3 linked regions of the Oreochromis niloticus genome follow. The protein of the gene in region 3 interacts with the protein of the main gene of each other region in a biochemical or structural test. Links are inferred from orthologs where the notes say so. Each region holds a gene or a part of one and is shown on either strand. Other genes may lie near its edges.

Region 1 (7,409 bases), on a different chromosome or scaffold from region 3:
TGGGAGGCTCCACCTCCATCCATGAGGTGGGAGGCAGATAAAAACTTACGTGAGGGCAGCAAGGTGAATGTGATAACAGCGGCTCAGGGACAGATGCAGCAGGTTCTTGAGTTGTTTGAGGACAGGTAAGCAGTCAGCTGTCAGCAGAGTGCTATCACTGCGACACAGAAACACAGGTTTTAAGCTGCAGTTGTCTGTGGCCACAGTAAAGACATTTTTCCAACCATGACAATTTAATTTGCAATAGCAAATAAAACAAGACAACTAAAGAAAAACCCCACAATTAAATACCAAACACAGAACAATGACTAAACTTTTACCTCAAATCTAGAGTTTTAATCTGGGGGCATTTTTCCACCAGCACCTTCACATCTAAAAATGAGAAATGACACAGACACACGTCAGACACTGTCAGAATGATCAACTCAAACAATCTTTAAGATATAGATCTATATCTAGATCGATCTATCCATATACAGTTTTCACAAACTAATTTCACTTCAGCAGTACGCACCCTCAGTGTTACTCTTCAAGCTGTCAAGTGAATCATAAATTACTGTATCATTATGCAATTTGTTATGTGTTACATCATTAAGGACAAACCAGCTGTGTTTGTTAGTGTTGAAATCAGTGACTTGAAGATCTCCACCACTCACCATTTAGGGTGAGGCTCTCTCTGTAACCGCTGAGGTTGAGATGTGTAACACTAGAACTCAGATTATCAACGACGCTCTTTATGTGATTATTATCAAAGGTGCACCATGATAAGTTCAGCTGTTGTATACTGAAACACAAAATCAGAGCATGAGTAAATCTGAGGAAGAGGAGAAACTGAAACTGTGGTTACAAAGTGAATAAAGGACTGAGCAGCTGACCGGGAACAGGATTTCAGCATCCTAGCGAGCGCAGGAGCAGAGAAGGCGGAGCAGCCGCTGAGGTTGAGCTCCTGTAGGCGGGTGTTCTTTGCCAGACAGCTGAGTGAGAGAGAAAAAGAGATTAACAAATACACCCAAACATGAGCTCCAAACACACAGTACAGATTTAAGCTGAAACAGATTCAGAAAATGCATTTACTGAGAAGAATTTAGTGCTTTGCCAGTTTACAATCAACAGTTACAGCACGACTTTTCCACCTCTGATGAGGCTCTGCTACAAACAGCATCACTGACATGTTTCCCTCAGCATCTGAGGTCATGAAAAGCTCAGACATCTTTTTGAGAAGAGAAAAGCAGCTGCAAAGACACTGGGAATCAGTGACATCCCTGCTACACTAATCAGTAGCAAATAGTTCAGATCTCACCTGATGATGGTGTCAGAGAGCTGCAGACCCTCCAGGCTCAGACATTCTAGCAGTCTGCAGCGACAGATGAGGTCTTCCAGAGCCAACGTGGGTATGACTGAGTTTGACAGATCCATTTGAACCACCTGCAAAGAGCTGGATAATGGAAAAGAAAGAAAAGAGCATTTTTTTTCCACTTAATAAGTGCCACAGAACTTAATACTTAATAGAGCTCTGTGGTGTGGAGGAGAATTAAACATTAGACATTAGATAGTTTTCATTAGATTTTCACAGGCAAGGAAAACTCAGAGTAAGTCTTCCAGTGAAGAAGAAAATCAGGACACACCATGATATATGTGACTAACCCTCTGTATGTCAAGTGCAACTCTTCCACAAAGGAGCGAGGGCAGCGCAGTCTGCGGATGCCAGTCCTCAGCACCTGCTGCAGAGCCAGACCAGTGTGGGTCATCCCCTCTAGATCCACACTGTGCCACAGAGACTCGTCAAACCTGTGATGAATGGACAAGCAAAGAGGTGTCATGGAGGCAAACCCCTACAGAAGCCTGCAGTAAATAACCTGCACACAGCAACCCGTTCTGTTAAATGTGAATGTGGGTTTCCATTGTGTGTGTCATTGAGAATATTAAGCAGCACAAACTCGTCTATCTACCAGTTTGTCAGAATTTAATACTTTTGAATGTAGCCACAGATTTCCATATTTTTGAATACTCTGATAAGTGTCACGAGTTTAAACACACAGATGTGAGAAAGAACCAGAGGAGTGGTTTGAAGTATGCAAACTCAATCTTTAGGATCCGCCCCGCACTTAAAAAAAAAAAAATTTCAAGCGGGAAGAAGCAGGGCCAGAGATTTTGTTAATGATCATTATGACTCACGCCAAACGTTGCCAGCGCTTGCAAACTACAGATATTCTGACGAGGTCCTGGAGAGGGAGGCAGAAGAAAATCCTAAGAACAACCTCGTCTGGTAGTTGATCCCATGAAATGTCTGCAGAGGGAAGGAGAAAGGGGGAAAAAAAGTTAAGTTGATCACAGGTGAAAGTCCTCATCTTAAACCTCAGAAAACCATCTCCTCCTACTTGGTGAGGGGTCTTTCCTCCTTGATCTCCTGCCAAGAACAAATTGATTGCTGTCATTCTCCTTCCCCTTGCTGAAGAGCCGCTGTTTCTTGCGCGGTGGTGTGAACTGCAGGATGAGATCTGTTGGGGTCCACTCAGTGTCCAGGCCCTCGCTGAGAATGCCTCTGGACTTGCATTTGTTGCTTTTCTTGGGCTGAGTCAGCATGGAGTCCTGCAGACTAAGGCAGGGACGATCCTGCAGTGGGACACTGTTGGAAGCAGAAGTTAATCAGACATGTGGGCATGGTTAAACAAGGCTTCATCATGCTGTCTTACACGAACACCCCACAGAAAGGCTACTTAGCGGCCTAGCTTCCTCTAAAGAACCCCTCCATGCCCGCCATATTGATGTAGCTACCAGCGGTGTGACCGCGCAAACTGACTGCAAAACCAAACGACAAACACTGTCTCCTGTCTTTCAGTACACAGACACATGCAGGTGGTCCAGGACGTCCACTCCTGCTCCGCGGTTAGCTTACAGTGTGTACCCCGGGAAGAAAAGAGCCGCTGACAGGCGTGGAGGGAAAGCGCTGGGGAGAAAGCGCGCTATCGGTACAGTTTACACTAACTACGCTAAGACGCCGGCGGTTTACCGAACACACAATTTCGCATAATTCCGCCTTGTTCACACCGCTTTAGAAATGGAAAGCACAGTTTTGAGTTGGGACAGTTAAACAGCACCAAGCTAGCCTTGGGATGGCGGCTCATTTTCACATGTGCAACACATCTCAGAGATAACTTATGCACCGCTATACCTCAAATATTTTTAGTAACAGAATGTAAGAACCACTGAGAACGATACCTGTCGCCTGGCATTTCCTTCAACTCGAAACAAGTGCGATCCTACACAAAAAGTGCAAGACTGTTTGGATCGCAGCCCTCCAACCGAGACTCTTTAAATTCGCCGCCAACACTGGGGCGCCCTCTTTTCGTTACGTCACGGACGTGCCTGCACGTACATCGCGTTACGTCATACGCATTAGGGATTTCGCCAGGTGGCAGTTTTTTGAGTATATATGCAGTAGAGTTATGTGCCATATTATTGGCTTTAGAACGGGTGGAAGACATAATTTCAAAAGTAATAATAGTGATTCATTGTTAGCATTGTTAAGTATTGAAAAATCGTAGATTTTGTGTGTGAACAAAGCAAAAATATAGTAATAATGTGGACTCCCGCTCATATAGGTATTGTGGGTAATGAAAGAGCAGATAGGTTGGCCAAAGAAGCTATTAAAAAAGTAGATATTGATATGCAGATACCGTTGTCGAATTCTGAAGGGAAACGTTTGGAAAGAAAGTAAGAATTTATGGGAAATGGCGCGGGGTAATGAAGTAAAAGGGAGACATTTATATAAAGTACAAAACAGTTCACGTTACAAGAAATAGAGGTGTAAGTAGGCAGGAGGAGGTAATTATAATTATACGTAGAATAAGAAGAGGTCATTGTTTTCTAGATGGCACTCTTTTTAGGATGCGGAAACATCTTACTGGTTTATGTAATCGGTGTAATGCTCTGGAAACGATTGAACATGTGCTTTTTAGCTGCAGGAAGTATGTCAGTCAAAGGAGAATGTTGAGGGTAGAAATGGGTAGTACTACCGAACCCAAGTTTGAAATGGTGGTTGATCAGTTGAGTCATGATGAAGGGAAAGGAAAGACTTTGTTTTTTGAGAAATACTGGACTCATAGTACGCGAACTGCGCGTACTCCGAAGCGTGCGGTCGCCGGATTGGGACACAGCCATCAACAGGATCTAAGGGTATGGAAGTGATGTAGCAGTAAAACCCAGGAGATGGCAGTAGTACAACATCGTTGGATGCAAGCTGCTGTTATAAATGAAAGAAGAAGAAAAATTGTATTTTTAAGGCAGTAGGTAATAGGTCCTGATTATTAGCAGGTCTTTTTCCTTAGTCGTGCTTTAATAAAGCAGGGAAGCACTTGTGTTACCAACTGGGTCAAAAGACGTATGAAGTAAGATTAGGGATGTGTGCGACTAGTCGACTAATCGCGCTATTGTCACTAGTTGGTACCAAACTTACTAGTTGTTGTCCTAAATGTTATGCAGCCATTTGCCACCAGACGGTTGTTGAGAAACACCATACATAACTTAATATAGCCCTGATCTTTTTGCTATTAGAATGACACTGCAGATACAAATGGCAGAAAATAGCTTTCTCCTAAAGGTGGGCTTTCCCTTAGTGACAGGGTTCAGAATAGAGCCACTATTCTTCCACATCAAAAGGAAACGGCTAAGGCTTTTCCCGAATGGATAAGGTTTTCTGGCCAGACATGTCCTACTGGGAGGAGGCCCCGGTGCTGAACCGGGACACCCTGGAGAGATCATATCTATAGGCTGATCTGGGAAAGGCTGGATGTGTTCCCGGATAAGCTTGGAGGAGGTGGCAAAAGGGAGGGCTTCCCTGCTGTCCCCACGACTGACTTCAGATAAGGGGAAGAAAATGGCTAGATGATTTATTGTTTTGTGGTTTTAGATTTTAACTTTTATCGAAACGATTCTCAAATTTAACTAAATATCTGAGTGTTTCTTACTTTTAGACTAGTCGGTTAGTGTAATTTCTCAATTAGTTGAGTAAGAAATTAGTAGCTAGGAACGTTCCTAAGTAAGATCATTTTTTTACTATACTTTTCAGGGTGTCTTTGAATTCAGCACTTTGTAGGTTAATCATTTTCATTGCCATCAAACCGTGTGGTATTTTTTGGTTCCTAACACATTACATCCACATCAGTATAGATGTAGAGGCAGCATGATTTTTTTCTCATTGAGATCTAAGGTGTTTTCAACGTGTTCCTTTATTATTTATTTATTTGCTTTAGTATGGATGAAGTTTATGAACTGATGAGCCTCTGACACTAAATCAGATTAATGCATTCAAACAAATATTATTTTAAGTTCTTTCTGAAGAAGTAAATTATTTTGAATTTGAATAACTCCTATAACACCAGAGAGTTTCAGGAGGCTTCACCAGCAATATTGGACCAAAACATGACTGTAGAAAGCATCTTTTATTCAGTTATAGGTTTTCCGTGTTTAATGACTCAAGAGTGAGCATGTTCGAACCAGTTTATTTGATATTATGTAACATTCATTGTAGCTCAAGAGGTCAGAATTGTGCCATTTTAAAGTGTTGATATTCAACACTATTAAAATTTTCAGCGACTGATCTTATATGATATACTTATGTAAACAAAGTTGGCTTTTTTCCATTCAATTAAATTTAATTTAAATGGCACCAAATCGCAACGTTGATTGACGTTAATTAATATTAACAATAATTCAGTGTCCAACCTAACAACCATCAGGTCAGTGGCCAAGTGTTTTATTGCCCCATGTGTGTTTTATTTATTTTTTTGCTTGTACAAGAGCTTTTATTTTTATATTTTAAATATTAATGCAATTTATATTATTTCACTTTCAATCTAAAAATTGTTATGAAAGCCTTGAAATTAATATGGTCTAGTATACATCATGCCCTTCTTTACTATCACCCCTGTTCCCTTCCATGTAAAATAGGACAGCTGCTGTCAGCCATGATCAAGCTGTATAATTTAAACATAGTATCAGACTAAGTTAATAGTTCATCTGCATATTTTAATACAACTTTTTGAGACTTACTGGAGGTTTTTCTCTGAGTAAAACAGATGTTGGTGGATGGAACAGCTATAAAGTTTCCTTTTCTTCATGTCAGATGAAGGACTCCCGCAGCTTTTTACCAGATGACCAGTGCTTACCTGCTTACCGCTCATTCTTCGTAGTGAATCCTGTTTGGTGTGCCAGCTGGAAGTCCATCCCGAATGTTTGCCTAATCTACTCTCTCACACGCTCTTCAGAAATATTCTGGATATTCTCTAAACCATACAGGCTCAAATATATACATGTCTCCCACTAATCCCCTTCTTTCGACTTCTCCCTTTAGGGGTCGCCGCAACATGTCATTTGCCTCCATTTCAGTCTGTTCCACACACACATTTCAACCTATTTAAAGTTATTTATGGTAAATGGTAAATGGCCTGTACTTGTATAGCGCTTTACTTAGTCCCTAAGGACCCCAAAGCGCTTCACACTACATTCAGTCATTCACCCGTTCTCACACACATTCACACACTGGTGATGGCAAGCTACATTGTAGCCACAGCTGCCCTGGGGCGCACTGATTTATCCATCTAACAGTGTCTCAGAGGCTGTCTGTGATTTTGAGTATGGATATATAAGTATGGGAAGCACAAATATTTATAGTTTGGAAAAAATGATGTAATTCCACCTCAGGTCATATGTGCGTACGCTGTTATTTATAACTATTGACCTTTCTCCCTCGTTCTCACACATACACGCAGTTGTGCACTAAGGTAACAGTCCCAGACCCTGACAATGACTGACAGGAGGGACAAGGTGTGTCAGATTTTCAAAATAAAACTTTCTTATTGGAAGACTAGTATGCTTTAAAAATGTGAAATGTTCAAAATAAAAGCCCTCAGTTACAAAAAAAAAAGTCTCTGTGTATTTTTTTAATACAAGATAAGTATGTTTTTAAAAGAATGTAATTTTGTGACCCTAACTTACAGCAGACAATACATTGGATCAAGTTTGGGCAGCAGCAACTATCCCTAACTATTATGCAAAAAATTACATAGTCTAGTGAGCACGGTTCCACACTCTGAGACTGGACAATATCTTGGTTTGGTTAATAATTTTGATGCATACTTAAGAATATTCCAAACTGACAGGTTTTTCTAAGTAGTTATTTCTTGCCAAAACCTTATCCTGATTCAGAAAGTAACATCCAACTGCTGCAACTTTTTCATATGATGAAATTCCTGAAGCTACAATAGTGGTTCCATTTCTATTGTCTTCACATGTGCTCCCCAGACATAGCATTTTAATTTAAATTATCATTGTTATCTAAGTGATACAATTGTATAACTATATTTGCATATTCCCTCAGATTGATATCTTTCTATGTGTTTGATCCCTGT
Region 2 (8,258 bases), on a different chromosome or scaffold from region 3:
TAAATACAGAATAAAAGAAAGACACCTTACATCATTAAGAAAAAAAAGAAAAGAAGACAAAGACAGCACACTGTCAACAAGCTTGGATTTCCTGAATGTTCTCAGAAGCCAACTGATTCCAGTTAATATAAACTGTAGTAATTTTATAATTCACTGCTATGGTTCCATTATAATAAGTACCTAAACTAAAGGCTAACCAGTCCCCCTCATTTTGAAGAGAGGATTTTTAGCCTAGAGAGCAGCTGGGCTGGCTTCAGGCCAAACACAAATCTGCTAGAAAACGAACTGAGGCTGGGAAGAGACGAATAGCATTACCGGTTCTTTCATGCTCACAGAAAGCACAGGTTTGTTTAGATACTTCTTTTGTTTATTTTCCTGGTATTTATGGACACCCAACATCGTTTCAAGGAAAAGAGCTGAATCATTAAAAGTTCACTGCGGTAAACTGAGCAATACCACACAATGGCTGGCAGGTGCGGACACAAGGACCATGCTGTGCTGCAACTAAGTTGTAGATGGCGATGTTACAAGAAAGCTCTAAACAGCAACATTTAATAGCAATGCATTTACTTATGCATTTAGATTTCTGACGCAACGCAATAGTCGCGATAAACCTCTGCACTCGGGAGGGCCGCAGTATTTTTCAAATACATTCTAGGCGCACAAAAAAAAGAAAAGAAAAAAAATCGGGCACAATTTCCGCATCCAATGCGGCGCCAACTTCCGTGCATTTCCCAAGGCACACGTATCAGTTTATAACCCTCTCTACGACTTTAAATCATGAGGACACCTGGGCAAATTTTCATACGACTGCAACCAGCCTAAAATAGCTTTCATATCACCGTTAACCGAACGGTCTCGCTTGTCAAAACCGAAAATGAAGGCGTCCGGCATGATACAGCAAAGCCGCCCGGCTGTTACAGTAGTTTGCCAATCCTACTAGAAAACGTTAACGGGTAGCAGTCGATTTAAAGATCTCAATGTGTAGAAAAATATAAATTAACTGTCAGATAACAGCACCAATAGAAAACTAAGTAGGTTCCGAACCACTAATCGGTTAAGTGATTTGGCAAGTGGACAGAGTCTAAACATTAATAACTTAGAGGGAAGAAAACACCAGCTTGTCAGCTTATCCATTAGCAGCTCGGCCTAGGCCTGCATTACCCTCAGTGCGGAACACAATTTTACAAGCTAGCAGCTGTGGCTACACTCCAACCGACCTTCTCGCACTGGAGAGCAACGGATTTGACAGGCGTCTACCACAGCTTCTATATGGACATGGGTTAATGTCTAGGCATCTAACAAAAAGCACAATTTAACTTTGTCACTTAACATAAACACTACGAATACAAGCCAAGCCACTACACTCGTGCTCCATTGATTTCCCTTTCCTTACCAATAATCCTTCTCGGTCCCTTCCCAATGCGAACCCGCTCCTCTCCTGCTGTGTGTAGCTGTCAGTAAAAACGCTGATTGTATATTCGACGATTTGTACAGAGAAAAGAAACGCGATGCGGAATTGGGGTGGTCTGCACTATATTGTCGAGTCACTATGTCGTTGTGCCGATAGTCTCTCCTATGTAATTGCGCTGCTGGCTTTGCGACTGCAGACAGGAACAAAACCAAAATGGCAGATGGGGAGAAAGGGGCGGAGGAGCTGTGACGCAGGGGCTGAAATATTCAACAGGAAAGGGTGGTTGCAAGCACGCTGCTCATCCAGGTCCTCGGCTCATTGGCTCTTCAAGCCCAAGCTAAAGCGCGTTGATCCCGCCCTCGCTACGAGAGGATGCATGCCAAGTATCTTACTGTACAATGAACAGTAGGATCTCCAATAATCTAGTGAAAAAAAACAACACTTAATGAAAAAAAATAAATAAATAACTCCGGGTATGTCTGAGATCATTGCATGAAAGGATTCTCCCTTAACGGAGCTGAATGTAACTCATCAGTAACAACACCTTTGTTTCAGAGGCAGATTAGCAAGGATCAGTCATCTTCATGTGAACTCCATAAACAAAGCTGAACACCAAACTTGCAACAATGCACCATCATAAAGAACACATTTTACAACTCCATTGGATATACTCTCACTGGAGCACAATTTGCTACATTCCACTTAACACACCAATTGTTTTGACTATTTTCTGAATTCAGCAATTATCATCACTACTCAAGTCGGATAGTGTACGATCCTTATTAGCTAGTGATGCTGAGCGTCTGGGCCTTTTAGTCACATTGAGGTTAGGGGTGAGCACTCCTTGCAGAAGAGTATTGGGGGAGGGGGTGCCTAGTAAATGACAAAGGCCCAGGAAAAAAAAAAAAGAGTGGGCCGCATATACTCGGGTACACATGTCGAGGTGATCCCCTATTCTCATCTTCCAACTAGAAAATGCTTAAGACCCTAGTATTACACCGTTCCCTTTGAACTGAAGCATACGAATATCAATGATGTCCGAATAATAGGCTGCCTAACTTGACAAGCTAAACAGAGAGACTAGCCAGTGTTAGGTTAGGTTACTGTGATAACGCCGATAACGTGCCATCGAAACGGGAACCCTACATATACAATCAGATATACGAGGAAAAAAAATAGTGCCAGCATGTACGCTCGTGATGCCAGTTAGCTCGTGTCTGTCTTTCAACGTAGTATCCATCAAATGTTTGAAGCAACTAGCCTTCTAGCTACCATTAACGTTATTTATCGCCTAACATTAATTAAAGCAGCAACCCCGTGCACATAAAAACGTGCAAATGCTAATTTGCCGTTAACAGTTACGTGTCAGTGCCTTGTTAGCTACCGTTAGCGGAGCAAGGAGCTTAAATGGTTCGCTCAGCCGTCTGCAACTAACATTAACGACTACCGATAACGCACATCAAAAGACTGCGTAGTTGTTAGCTTGTGTGCGGCTAGCTTTCGAGCTATCTAGCCACCCAGCGACTTTTTCCCCTTCTTGTGCCGCTATGTTAGCTAACTAGCTAACATTAGCAAACTAGCTGAGGCTAACATCACCAGGACGAGAGCTTACACAAGTGTGCAGAACTTACCACATCCGATATTTACTCGGCCTGATCTGGAGTATTAAAAATCGGCTTCTGCTTAAGCAAAGAAAAACAACAACCAAGGTGACAATTCAACACCGCCACTGACTGCAAAGTGAAAAGTGTGTCACGGTGGCGGGCTCTGTGTGAGTTTTTTCCGCTGGACGGCTGCCTGTCCGGCTGTTCCCAACCCGTTTCCCCTCACTCTATTTCAGTTGAAAGCAAAGCAAAGCAGCAACATGTGCACGTTACAGGCACAACCATCATTCCGGGTCTTGGGGTTAATTGAAAATGAATAAGATTGGTTTGTGTCTGCTCTGTCTTTTAATTAATCGTTAACGTTCACACATCCCATCCACAAGATAAAGCGTACTGAATATTACACTGCTCTGTGGTTTAGTTGTATATTTAGAAACAAGACTACTTTTGTTACCCCCGTAGCCTTACAACCATGGACTAAACCGAAGTTCACGCAGTGCCTTATGGGACTTGTAGGCATATAGGATAATATAATAGAACGCCTGTCAGAAATCTGCCTTTTGGATAAATGTTGATTAAGCACGTAAAAAACAAAACAACAAAACACGGCTGTAATTCTAAAATGTTTTTTTGAAGAGTGATCAAATGATTTTAAACAACTCAATATATATGCATGTATTTACTGGCTTACTTTTATTGAAAGACTTGCAAACAGTGCACATTTTACATAGGGACAGAATAGTGGAGATCTAGACTTGTTCAGGAGAAAAGCACAGAATCTGGTATTACATACACCCAATAGCAGAACAAAAGTCAGAACAGTTTTATGATGAAAAGGATAAAATAGGCAGGATTGTCCAGTTAACGGTACCAAATGAATGTGCTGACAAAACTGGAGCAAACGAAAACAAACTATCTGGAAATGTTTGGGGGAAAAAGGAGAGAAAATGTAAGTGTTACCGTGTTATTGCAAAGCCTTTATACAGTATATTTTCCCCAGCTCTCTGACAGATGTGGAACAACTCATAAGTCTAAGTGACAGTTTAAGTTTAAATATACTGTTTAATAAAACAAATTTTAATTTCTTGCAACCAGGGGAATGGCTTTATCAAATCAGTTTCACATATTTCTGTACAACTTTGTGACACCAAGCATCACAACAGAATAAATAGCCACATAAATACATAGTAACCCCCCAAAAATAAATCATGGGACGATCTGCTTTGAACAAAAAAAACAAGTAAATGTCACTTTGGAAGTTCACACCATGGAAGAAAAATATGACTTAGGAACCTAGTTTGATTTTGTTTATTTACAGTTTTTAGGGTATAATACTTTATTTAGATCTTTTCTTTCACTGTTAGTTGAGAATTTCGCCATTCTTATTTGTGCAGCTTCATAACTTGGAAATTTGTTGAGTGCTTGGATTTCCATATGAGGTCGTTGTGTGGTAAACATTTAGGCACACAATCTGGATTTAGCATACTTTCTTTAGATCTTAACAAACTTTTAAGATCTTGATCTGTGAAGCTGTCATACAGAAATATATATATTGTACTCCAATCCCTCTAGACTCCAGTGATGAAAGTGTTTGGAATGTCAGAAGGGCGTAGGGTCATCTGGTATGAATATGCAGCCAAACCAAACAACAGTGTAATAACTTCTCTTTTTGCGCACAATTAGGCAGTCCTTCTGGGTGAGACAGTCATTAAATCCTTAAGTTTAACTATGAATACAGTGTTCCAGGTATTTTTGCCTTTGTGTATTGCATCATGCACACCTGCCTCATAGTCCCCTGCCTATCCCAGGTCTTGGTGACTGGCTTGAATGAGCAGGAGCCGCCTGTACATCTCTGTCTTCCTGCTCTCCCAGCGCCTGGGGTGAGGCTTCTGTGGGTGGAGATGGTGGGGGATAGGCAGGAGGAGGAATGCTAATGCGAGGAAGAGATGGCAGCACAGGTCTGGGAGAGGTAGGAAGTGGTGGTGGGGTGCCGGTGGTTGCAGATGTGGACCGCTGTGAGGGGCGTGCACGAGAGGTGGCGGGAGAGGCGTGTGTGCTCCGAGCTCGAGGTTGCTCAGCAGGACAGTCACTGATTTGCTCTAGGAGCGACGGCATGTCTCCCTCGATCTTCTCCAGCACAGCAGCCATTTGCTTTTCTATCTGCTCGATCACACTGTCCATTTGCCAATCGCTTGAAGTGCTGCTCCCCCCACTGTGCTGTAGCCCAGTTCCATACCTCCCTACACCTCCTCCACTTGTATACAGGGAACTGTATGGACTCCCATAGCTCCCAGCCATCCCCATCCCCATAGCCCCAACCTCTGGATTGTATGGTGTGGCATGACGGCCCAAGCTAGCAGAGCTTCCAACTGCATAGCAAGCCTGTCCCGGTGTAGCACCTGCTCTTGGTATGCTAAACTCAGCGCTGTATCTATCTGTTCTTCTGGCATTCCTGTCCTGCCTATCTACTGGACTGGCATCGCCCCTTAGCCTGACTCCTAGTCCTCCATCCACCCCTGTACCTGGCCCCACTGCTGGAGTGACTGGCGCCACCACAGACTTCTCTGCCACCGCTTCAGGTATTTGTGTCTGACACCAACTTCCGTCAGTCTCATCCTTTTGCTCGCTTTGTGTGACTGGTCTCTTCAGCGGTGAGGCTGATGCAACAGCGGATGCTGTGTGTGAAGGGGCATGAAGTGTTGCAGCCATTTTACATTTGCTGCTGGGATCAGGGGAGGACGATATGTGTTTTTTGTCAAGATTAATGCCCGAAGTGCTGTCTAATAGCTTTGAGGCCTCAGGGCTCACCGCAGGCGTCTGTTTGAATTCTGGAACAACTTTATTTTGGCCCAAATTTGCAGCCATTTTCCTGGTTCCGTCACCTGCTCCTTTCTTTACACCAACCTTGTCAGGCTGTTCCTGGGTACAGTTGGGGACCGCATTTGATTGACAGAAAAGGTCCTCTACACCTGATGGCGAAGTTCCTACAGATGGGCCTATATGCATCTTTACCTCCTCTTGTTTTTCTCCAGCCTTAACTGTCTCTTTACTCTGGTCCATACCAGAGGGCATACTCTCAATAGTAACTTCTAAAGACACACTACTTGATGTCACCCCACCATCACTCGTCCCTTTCTCTCCCTCATCACTTGTTCCCTGCGACGCACCCCCTTCACCATCCCCTGCCTCCTCACTACCCTGAACCTCAGCAGAGCTATCAATCAATGCTTCTGAATTCTTCAGGCGTTGCATGAATGTGGTGACACGGATCGCTTTCTGCGAAACAGACAGAAGTAGAAGAAAAACAAGAGAAGGATGGTTAGAATGAAAAGAATGAGATCTGCAGCACATTTAATTTTCGTTAAAATATATTTCCTCTTCCCCCCCCGCTAAAAAAAATAAATACTTTGATAACATAGTTATGGAAAAGCTTAAAAAATAAGCTTCAAGGACAAGCATTTGACAAAAAAGCCTGTCAACACACCATGATTTTAGCAACTTCGTACTAAGAGCTGAGATATGATTTGTGTGACATGAAGGTAGATTAGTGCCGGTTGTTTACTTCCAGAAGGCTATGACATATTGTGCCCTGGTTTAAATCAATCTCAAGTCTCACCCTCCCCAAGAAACTCCTTGAGTGCTTGCTGACTGGAAAAAGTAATCAAGCAAATGTGTATAAATCCCCTTCTTATAAATGTTACACCGATCTGATTCCTTCTGCTCTACAAACACTGAAGGAGTCAGGGGGGAATGTGTGAGCTTAATAACTGCTAATAAACCAGGGAAACGAATTCCCTTGAATTCTCTGGAAGTGAAAAGCCACTAGGACACAAAAATGCTACAGAAAACAATATCTCTTAACTGAGAAGCTTTAGTATTGCTTCAAAAATGATTTAAATGTAACAACAGTATGGGACAATGGGCCAGGATTCACGTAAGAGGAATGCCAGAGGGCCTTACAGTATAAATCACGGCAGTTCATAAGTTCACAGTGGCTAAGAACCCTTTTGTCCTTTCCATTTAACCCTCTCCTTATCTACACTAATTTAAATACTACAAAAGTAGTGAAGAAAAAAAAACTTGCTTCTCTGTTGCTTATCTCACATTTGCAGATCTGGATTCATAAACTAGTGCAGATGAGGAGAAGGAAAGGAGTAGAGCAGGCCACTTTGAACATCTGGGTGTAATCCAATGACAAAAAGTGGGGCAGAGTGGATGGATCTCTTCTGGGACAGGCAGAGTGACAGTGGGCAGGAACAGAGCTTGGGAAGAGTTTCAACGGCCCCTGACATGATCAATACATCTCAAAGCTGACTTGGGTTTAACATTTAATATAACATTTTTTCCAAACTGATTTTTATAGAGATAGGTTCTGATAAAAATCTCTTTTTAACTTAAAAGCATATTTGGCTATCAGAGAGATGCGTTATTGAGTCATTCTGGACTAAATGTGAGTTTCTCCCCACGCTCTGCCCTTCCACTGTCCTTCAGAATGAAAAACAATACCTTTAATTCCTGGGAACCACATGGAGAAAGAGAGAAGAGGATTGTTGCTGTTACTTAAGCTGTTAGGTTAGCATTGCCACCACTTTCCTTCTTTGTCTTCACCAGTCTCATCCCTGGATCGCCTTATCAGTTCCACCATGTCATTCACAGACTTTAAACATACCTCTGCTGAGTTGTGTTACGAGCTAAAAGCACATTAAGACCCTGGTCTTCATCTGGTTTCTCCTCCAATATTCCTCTGCTGCTATTATTTCCAACTTCATTTAATCTCACATTTACAGAGCAGGAGTGAATACATACCCGCCATTTGGCCTTTGCAAAGTTCTTTTCAAACTGGGCACACACGCCATCCTTCAGGTTCTTTTCTGATGCACCGTTCCCTGCAATCCTGAGACACAACATACAAGTAAATGTAGCTGTGTGCCAAGACTTTTGTTGCTATTGTCAGTATGTGCACATGATTACCACTCATGGTAAAGCGCATCTTGTGCTGTGATTCTCAGCATCTGGTCCACTTCCATCAGGCGACAGACAAGCTCCTTAGCTGAAAGAGAGAGAGAAACGAAAAGGCAAATGAGGCATCTTAAGAAATCATATATGCAGTCTTTAAAAAGCGAAAACATAAAACATTCTGTGCTGTTTTCAGTTTCGCTCTGCAAAGTATTTCATGACGATGGCAATTTTGATAAAAATGACAAAGTGGCACAAAATGTTTTACCTAATGATGCTCTAAA
Region 3 (8,045 bases):
AAAAAAGCTCTGTGTTGGTTTAGAGGAGGGAAGCTTCCAATCTTTCTTGGTTGTAAACCTAGAATATCTGGCAACCCGGGCAGAGAGAGGAGGGGTAGCACACGTCAGCTAAGATCGGGGTGCCGCAAAAAAGCACGTCAGGACTCCTCATTGCCCGAGTCGTCTTCGTCATAGCAACAGTCGCCATCCTCGCCTTCCACGTCGTCTTCGTCGTAGCAATAGTCATAGAACAGGTCGGAACCTTCATCGGGGGCTGGGGCACGTGTGCGGACGCAGTACTCCGCCAGCGTAGTGGGCACTTTCACGCCATCGCGCTCAGCTTCAGCTTTGGTAGCCAACACTTGTTTTCTGAGGGGAGATCAGAGTGGCGTTATTACAAACAGCTGGAGATTTATTATTTTCTGTCTTTCCATAAAAGATCAACCAAATCTGAAGAAAAGTTCCCACCTTATCCGCCAACAGTCAGCTGATCTTTTGCTAAATGAATGAAGCTGTGCAAAATTTTACCTTCATGCTATGAATGTTTTACAAGTAACATTCAGAGTACAGAGTCCACACACCCACAACAGTCATCTGGTTAGGTCGCCTCCAAGGTACTTAAAAACACCTGCAGTGGATTTGCTAACACTCTTTCACAATTTGGGCAATTTGATTTTGCCAAATGTTTAAGTGAACTCCAGCTTTGATCATTCAGGATTTTTATTTTCTGAACATATTTATTCCCAGAAGAATGGCGGTTCACCAAGTTTTAATAATGCACTGGACAGTTTTAGCTGTTTCAACAATCAATACAGCTGTATTTCTCTGCTTGATGCAGGGCATTAGTTTGACCCTCTGAATCAGTAAAATCTTCTCTACAACTATGAGATACATCTTCTGACATGAAATTACTTTTGTTTTGCGAGTGAGTTTATACCATTTCTTTTAACTGTGAATCATGCAAACTGTTTACCTGATGATCTCCACGTATTCCCGGTCTTTGCCTTTGCTGTCTCTCCATTTGCGGTACATGACAGACGCGTCCACATTGGCAGGAGAAAAGGTGTTGGGTTCATTCAGCAGTGAGATCACACTCAGCAGAATGGTCCTGGAAGCAAACACAAAGGTGGCAGTCAGCGTGGCATCTACTGCAGGACACGAACACACAAGTTATGTGAATTTAAACAAAAAGGAAAAAAAAAGAAAAAAAAAAAAAAAGAAGGAATTTCTACTTTCTCCCTTATGTTAATTTTTTTAAAAATTACATTTTATTTTAGTATTGGGTGAATTTAGAAATATGGATAAAGAGTCTCTCAGTATGGATTTAAATGCTAATTATTCTGGTAGATAATAGATTATTTTAAATTGTTCAAAAATGCTGTAAACGACAGTCAGGTAATTTGCACTGGATAAAACAATGAGCAACTAGAACACTGGACTGTGTTTTGATTAAAACAGACCTCTCTACGCCTTTGTAAATGTTATTTAAACAAGGTTGAGGAGGATTGTTGTCCTAAGACTGTCACTGAATGTTCAGCATGTTCAGAAATGGTGACGTTTGTATTTTTGTGTAATAACTTGTGCTCTGAAAGCAATGCATAATAATGCACTTCTACTATAATAAAACAGTATAAAAGAGGGTATCTTCCTCTTCCTACTGACTGATAATGCCTCCATACTGCAAAAAAACAAGAGGCAACTCAAACTGCTTTAACTAACAAGGTGTATAATACATTGAATGCCCACATATGGATTCAGTTTCTAGATACAAGTAAAAAGAAGCCAATGAAGACGAATGTCATGCGATAAGACTCTGACTCAGGTAAATTATTGAAGTGGCTGAGAAAGGACAAAGAAGGGAGGTACCCAAGAAAGGAGAGACATGAGAGAGATAATGAGGGAGTGCTAACCGGACGTTCTGGGTGGGATTCCATCTCTCTGAAGGGAGCTCTCCGCTCTGTGGGTCGTCCACTGGAGGGTGCAGTATAGAAATACACACATCTCCATTCTAAAAGACACAGGGGAAAAGAAAGCTCCTTCAAATGTGATTCAGTCAAATTTAGTTATAGACTTTTTTAAAAACAAGAATCTGATAAAGTCCTGTATAAAAATACTAAATACACTACACAAAACATAAAAAAAATAAAAAAAATAAAAAAAAAAAGCCAACCTCTCCTAATGGAGAGATTATGAAGCTTGATCGCCTGTGGTTTTCAGCTGGGTTGAACACCTTAAGGTTGCTGGCAGTCAATCAATTAACTGCCAGGCTTCAATAACAAACAAACAAACATTTTTTTTTAAATGGGTCTAATGGGCCCCATGATGCAAGTGGTATTTGATCATATGAATCATGAGCCAAGCCTAGGACAGCTGCTCCCATCACAAACAGCAGTGGGAGGGCATACAAGTATGTCATGTTGTTACCTCATAGATGTTGGGGTGCCACATCTTGGTGAGGAAGCGGAAAGCCGGAGGGGAGTAAGGGTAGTCTAGAGGAAACTTGATCCGAGCCTAGGACAAAAAGAGACCTTTGGGGCTTGAATTGTGTGGCAACCTTTATTCATTCAGTAAAGCCTGTGTATTGTACTACATTGAGTGAAGTAATCACACAACTTTGGCTTTCTTACCTTGAAATATCCCCCTTCATAGTGAGTGTTTGGTGGTCCAAAAATGGCCACTTCCCAGTTGTATAAATCAGCCTCGTCCACCAGTGTTATTTTGAATCCCTCCACGGGCTCCTCCTGAAGGCTCTTCAGTTCCAGCATGAGTGCTTTCTGTGAACTGGCTACATGAGGGGCGTCGGGTTGCGCCATAATGTTGTTGTTGCTGGTGGTCTGGGTGGCTGTCAGGATATTCTGGAGTGAACAGTGGACTGCTTCCTTCTGTTCACGCGAACACGGCAAAGTTAGCCTAATGAGCCAAGCAGCCTACCCCGAAAACAACAACAACAGTACCGAGACAATAAAACAGGCCAAACGTGTCAGGCTGTGCTCGAGCCAAACAAAGGTGGCGTTGATCTGTCCCCGAAACAGAGGAATTATTTACCAATGTCAACACTCAGAGAAATCTGCAACTGACCGACCATTGTGTCAGACCCGCGCCTCCAGCTTTAGCTGATCTACCTGGCAGAACAGCCGCGGATATAAGCCGTAAATCTACTGATAGCTGTAGGCTAATAGGAGCTAGCTAACAAGCCCTACCTCACCGACCAGATCGAGCCGATCTTAGCGCGGCGCGAATACTTCCTAACCGCATACAAGAGCCAGGCTAGGACAGAAAACACACCTATATACCCAAACCCATGAATTCTTTACGGCAACAGCCGGAAAATATAGCTCATACAGCCATAAGAGAAGACAGGATAGAGAAGAATGTTGCTGAAAGGAGTCCCCTTTCCTCTACAAACAGGCAATGGCGCCCTGTGATTGCGGGATTTGTAGTCCAGTTTCCACCTGTCAACATTATTTTTCCCCTTTAGAAAAGCAAAGAAGGCGTACGGTGACGCAGTTAACTATCTTATTACATAAGTTTATATAAAATTAAATTTATCCAGGAAAAAAATAACAGCCTTTAGAGACTATTTCTTTAACATTTTATTTGAGAGGGAATTTAGGGAACTGCATTTGCCACTTTCTGACGTCACAAAAACGCCAAATATTGTTCGTGCTTCTGAGCTGTTTTCACCCTGAAATTATTTCAGTACACTGACGGTTCTCAGTTGTATTCAGATGGTACTCCGAGGAGGGGTGCGGATTTCATATAAACAACGGGGAATTTGTTTCTAGTTTATTTTTCTCAAGGTTCTCGTGACGTAAATAATACGCGCCATTTTACAGAAAGCCCCTTCGAGCGGGGCTTTTTGCTGCCCCGTTATCTAGTTAAAAATATAACGGTTTTATTTTATATTTTATTTTTTAGAATATGACCTGAAAATGTGAAATATTGACATTATTTGCTTTTTAAACGTTCCAATGCAGCTTAACCTGGCGCAAACATAATATGTTTTAGAAAGTCCCCTTTGTTACATCTTATTTATGCGACATACTGGTGTTGGGACCCCCTATTGAGAGAAACTTCGCAATGAGTTCCAAGTCTCGACGTCGGACTCGCTCCAGGTCCAGAAGTCGGAGCCGAGATCGGCCGAACAAGTCAAGAGGAAACAAGTCTAGATCTCCAGATGAGAGGAGAGACCGCAGTCGGTCTGCCGACAGGAAAAGGGCCGCTCGTGGTAGGGGAAGATCCGGCAGTCGGGACTCCAGCGATGGCTCTCCGGCCCGACGTCGGCCTCAGCACAGGGGCCGCTCTGGTTCTAGCAGCGGCTCGGAGAGCGACCGGAGGCGAGAGACTCACCGTCAGAGGAACAGGTCGAAGGGTCGGTCATCAAGGTAATCGCTTTACGAAGCGGAGTTGGCTGCTTACTTGGGATTTTATATATTATGATGGTAGTAGCAGGCCTCATTTGAACACATCGAGTGACTCCGTAAACGTAACGTTTTTCTGTCCGCTTTGCGACAGCGAAAGGACATCAACAAAAACTATTCTTTTTGGGGGGAATTCCAGGAATCAGCATGCATCTATGCTTTTGCATAGGCGCTAAATATAATTTAATGTTGACTTGCAGAACTGAGCAAAGCCTTACTTCAAAAAAGGAAGAAAAAAGATGTGTCTGTTGTTTTATTATTTGAAGAACCACCATTACCACCAGTACCACCAGTGCGTGTGGCGCAGTATTGCTTGCTAGAAGGCAACATGCCAATGAGACCTTCGTAGATATTCTGTCTATCCATCAATCAATCATCCAAAGGTTGTAATGGCAGCAGCCTAAGCAGGGTATTCCAGACATCCTTCTCCCAAGCAACACTTTCCAGTCCTTGCTGGGAGATACTGAGGCGTTTCCAGGCAAAGTGAGATGTATAATCTCTTCAGTGGGTTCTGGGTCTAGCTCGGGGTCTCCTCCCTGAGGAGAAGGCATCTTCTTTGATCACCAGGTTTTTCTATTCCTAGTATCAGCTTTTTAAAAATGTATTGCTGGAATCAAATTTAAATTACCCTTCTTTTTTGAAAAGCAAATTATATTTCTGAATTGAATCTTTTGTTGTTCTGTGTGATTGTTGATTGGATGTAGGGTTTAAATCATTGTACAACATGATGCTTGTTGTCACTTCAGTCATAAAATATTACAAAAGGGATGTGTGCACAGTATATTGCTGTAATGATGTTACAGCACTCAACCCATCCTTGGTTGAGTGCCAGGCTGCTGCACAGTAATCCAATCAACCGATAGCGATGCTGATGTTCAGTGACGTTAGTGTTAGGCTTTATGTGAATGAAAAGAGCTGCTGTAGATATAATCCCTATATCAACTTGTTATGGTAACTCCATTGCATATAAATAAATAAATCGGTTTTTAACTGTATTCAACAGGACTTCACTTTCAGAGATTCCTCTTATGTGGTTCTTCTGTAGTTAATATTGTATTCCTGCAGTCACTGTATTAAATCACACTTTCTGTCTCAGTCCTGATTCAGATAATACCAAAATGAGAAGGAGGAGAAAGGAACAGGAGAGTCGTAGAACAACATCCCAAGAGAGGAGAAAGGGAAGATCCCAGTCCAGTTCTGACTCCCGTGATGGGAGCGGCGACAGAGAAAGGAGAAGAAGAAGGAGTGCCGAGAGAGGGAGTCCACCAAGAGACAGACAGAGGAGGGAGTGGGACAGAGAGAAAGAGAGGCACAAGAACAGCAGCAGAGACAGAGACAAAAGTCGAGAGCGAAGGAAGAAAAGTGAAGACAGGGAGCGCGGGAGGAGTAAGAGAAGCCAAGAGAAGTCTGACTGGGGCAGAGGCAAGCAGCGCTTCAGTTCGAGTGAATCATCTGAGAGCTCAGAGTCTGATTGCGAGACAGGCGCAGTCAAGGAAAAGGAGGAGAGGAAAAAACAGAAGGAGATGATGAAAGCTCTTGAGACACCAGAGGAGAAGAGGGCCAGAAGGTTGGCAAAGAAGGAAGCAAAGGAGAAGAAAAGGAGAGAGAAAATGGGCTGGAGTGAGGAATACCTGGGATACACCAATGCAGACAATCCTTTTGGGGACAACAACTTATTGGGAACATTTAAATGGCAAAAGGTGAGTTCCTGACTGCAAAAGTTTGGATATTTGCCTGTCATAACCTGCCTTTGAGACCTTGTATCCCATCCATGGTTCTTTTTGCTTCCTCAGGCATTAGATAAGAAAGGTATTGGTCATCTCGGAGAGAAAGAGCTCAAAGAAAGGAACAAATGTATTCAGGAAGAGAACCGCAGAGAGCTGCAGAAGGTAAGAACTGTGGGATGAAAATCTTCCACATTAGTGCTCACACAGTACCTGACTTTTTATACAAATGCTTAAAAAAAGGATGGAATTTCAGTTCCCAGGCAAAACATAGAGGATCAGTTTTAAGATTAGAGATTGGGAGCGACATATTTATACACCAACTTTATGTTGATGTAGGTGAAGCAGCTGCGTCTGGAGCGGGAGCGAGAGAAGGCCATGAGAGAGCAGGAGCTGGAAATGCTGCAGAGAGAGAAAGAGGCAGAATATTTCAAGACCTGGGCTGAACAGGAAGACAACTTCCATCTGCATCAAGCCAAACTAAGGTTAGTGTGGCTCTTATATTAACAATCTCCCTTTTCATACCTCTGAGGATTCTTATGTACTCCACTATGATTGGATCAGTTTGTTTAAACTTCCACCTTCTACATCTATTTATCTAATTAACCCTGCTTCACACCCTTGTGCTTTGTCTCTGCAGGTCTAAGATTAGAATTCGTGACGGCCGTGCGAAGCCGATTGACCTCCTGGCGAAGTACATCAGTGCAGAAGATGATGATTTGGCAGTGGAAATGCACGAACCATACACGTTCCTCAATGGGCTCACGGTCACTGACATGGACGACTTGCTAGAGGACATAAAGGTTTGTAGATGTGCTTAAATAAAGTGTAAAAGTTCTGTTTACGAAAGGACCGATTTAAGAGTGTGAACCTGCACTTTTGTTTGTGTGTTTTACCCAGTAACTGTATCATCTTTAAATGTGATTTGTGATTATTAGGGTTAAATAAAAATATGTGAGTATACAGTGTTTCATAATATGCCCATACACAAATACAATATTAAAAACCCAGCTCAATTTGTAGTGTAAAGCTTAGACTTTATGTAAAACATAACATCACCCACTGCGTTATGAGCTACTGTTATGAAGCCTCACGTTATAGCACTGTGCAAAATTCTTAAACTATCCCCTGTTTCTGTATATTTTTCTTTATATTTTGCTTCCAGATGTCAAGTGCTCTTGACATTTTTTAAGTGCTCTTGAGCAATAGTTCTCCAGGTTTCCTGAAGGCCTTTCAGTGCTCTTCCTTGATCACTGGCATCTATTTTGCTTATTTTCAGTCCAGTTCTTGTACCTGACCTTTCTCAGAGGAATCTTTGTTAAGCCACCATGAATCATTCAAGCATAAAAAGAGACCTTGCGCAAGGGATGAATCTGTGCCATGTTTATCATCGGTAGACAACTTGGCAAATAACCAATTTGAAATTGAATCTTCAGGCACTTTGTTACTCCACAGCACATTTCTTTACTTCAGTCAAGAGCTGTCTCAGTGGAAGGGTGGCAGGAAGAAAGTGAAACAGGGAGGAGTGAGTTAGGTATACCAAATTACACAAGAACTGGACGGAATCTGTTCAAAAGGTCTTGTAAAGTAATGAATCCAAATTTGAAGTTTTTCGTTCAAATTGTCATTAACATGTACAGAGGTCGTCTAACACTGAGTGTCTACAACATTCTGCAAAACATGGTGGGCTCTCTGTCATAGTTTGGGGCTGCTTTTCAACCAGTGGTGTTGGACAGGAAGTCAGAATTAATTGAATTATCAACAGGAAAAAAAAAATGCTGGAAGGCATCTGATTGGCAACGGCTTCATGACAGTGATCCCAAACACACTATCGATCGGCCTTCCCAGCTTAACATTATTGAAGCAGTGTGGGATCATCTTGATAGAGAATTGAAATTGAACAAAAGGCAGCAAACATCCA

What was found.
Region 1: the proteins of cdc34b (region 3) and skp2 form a complex in vitro, tested with the Homo sapiens proteins (3 studies listed by BioGRID, with this or other methods). The link is inferred for Oreochromis niloticus from reciprocal best matches to the Homo sapiens genes CDC34 and SKP2.
Region 2: of the proteins of cdc34b (region 3) and uba1, one has a biochemical effect on the other in vitro, tested with the Homo sapiens proteins (7 studies listed by BioGRID, with this or other methods). The link is inferred for Oreochromis niloticus from reciprocal best matches to the Homo sapiens genes CDC34 and UBA1.

The regions. Positions count from the first base shown.
Region 1 is NC_031972.2:8,165,472-8,172,880, forward strand, and holds the start of skp2 (S-phase kinase-associated protein 2), read right to left. Parts: upstream 3,386-7,409; 5' UTR 3,234-3,385; coding exon 3,220-3,233; intron 2,627-3,219; coding exon 2,379-2,626; intron 2,288-2,378; coding exon 2,176-2,287; intron 1,789-2,175; coding exon 1,645-1,788; intron 1,436-1,644; coding exon 1,301-1,435; intron 975-1,300; coding exon 876-974; intron 785-875; coding exon 657-784; intron 373-656; coding exon 321-372; intron 158-320; coding exon 50-157; intron 1-49. UniProt on the Homo sapiens protein: Substrate recognition component of a SCF (SKP1-CUL1-F-box protein) E3 ubiquitin-protein ligase complex which mediates the ubiquitination and subsequent proteasomal degradation of target proteins involved in cell cycle progression, signal transduction and transcription.
Region 2 is NC_031984.2:18,166,228-18,174,485, forward strand, and holds the start of uba1 (ubiquitin-like modifier-activating enzyme 1), read right to left. Parts: upstream 3,270-8,258; 5' UTR 3,046-3,269; intron 1,636-3,045; exon of another isoform or gene 1,397-1,635; intron 1-1,396. Other genes in the region: camkvl (caM kinase-like vesicle-associated, like), read right to left, coding at 4,804-6,294, 7,525-7,533, 7,825-7,912, 7,990-8,068. UniProt on the Homo sapiens protein: Catalyzes the first step in ubiquitin conjugation to mark cellular proteins for degradation through the ubiquitin-proteasome system.
Region 3 is NC_031982.2:12,765,458-12,773,502, reverse strand, and holds the start of cdc34b (cell division cycle 34 homolog b), read right to left. Parts: upstream 3,415-8,045; 5' UTR 2,793-3,414; coding exon 2,607-2,792; intron 2,491-2,606; coding exon 2,404-2,490; intron 1,988-2,403; coding exon 1,890-1,987; intron 1,088-1,889; coding exon 953-1,087; intron 349-952; coding exon 138-348; 3' UTR 1-137. Other genes in the region: splicing factor Cactin, read left to right, coding at 4,060-4,364, 5,497-6,100, 6,194-6,289, 6,464-6,609, 6,765-6,927. UniProt on the Homo sapiens protein: E2 ubiquitin-conjugating enzyme that accepts ubiquitin from an E1 ubiquitin-activating protein, and catalyzes its covalent attachment to other proteins by an E3 ubiquitin-protein ligase complex. In vitro catalyzes 'Lys-48'-linked polyubiquitination.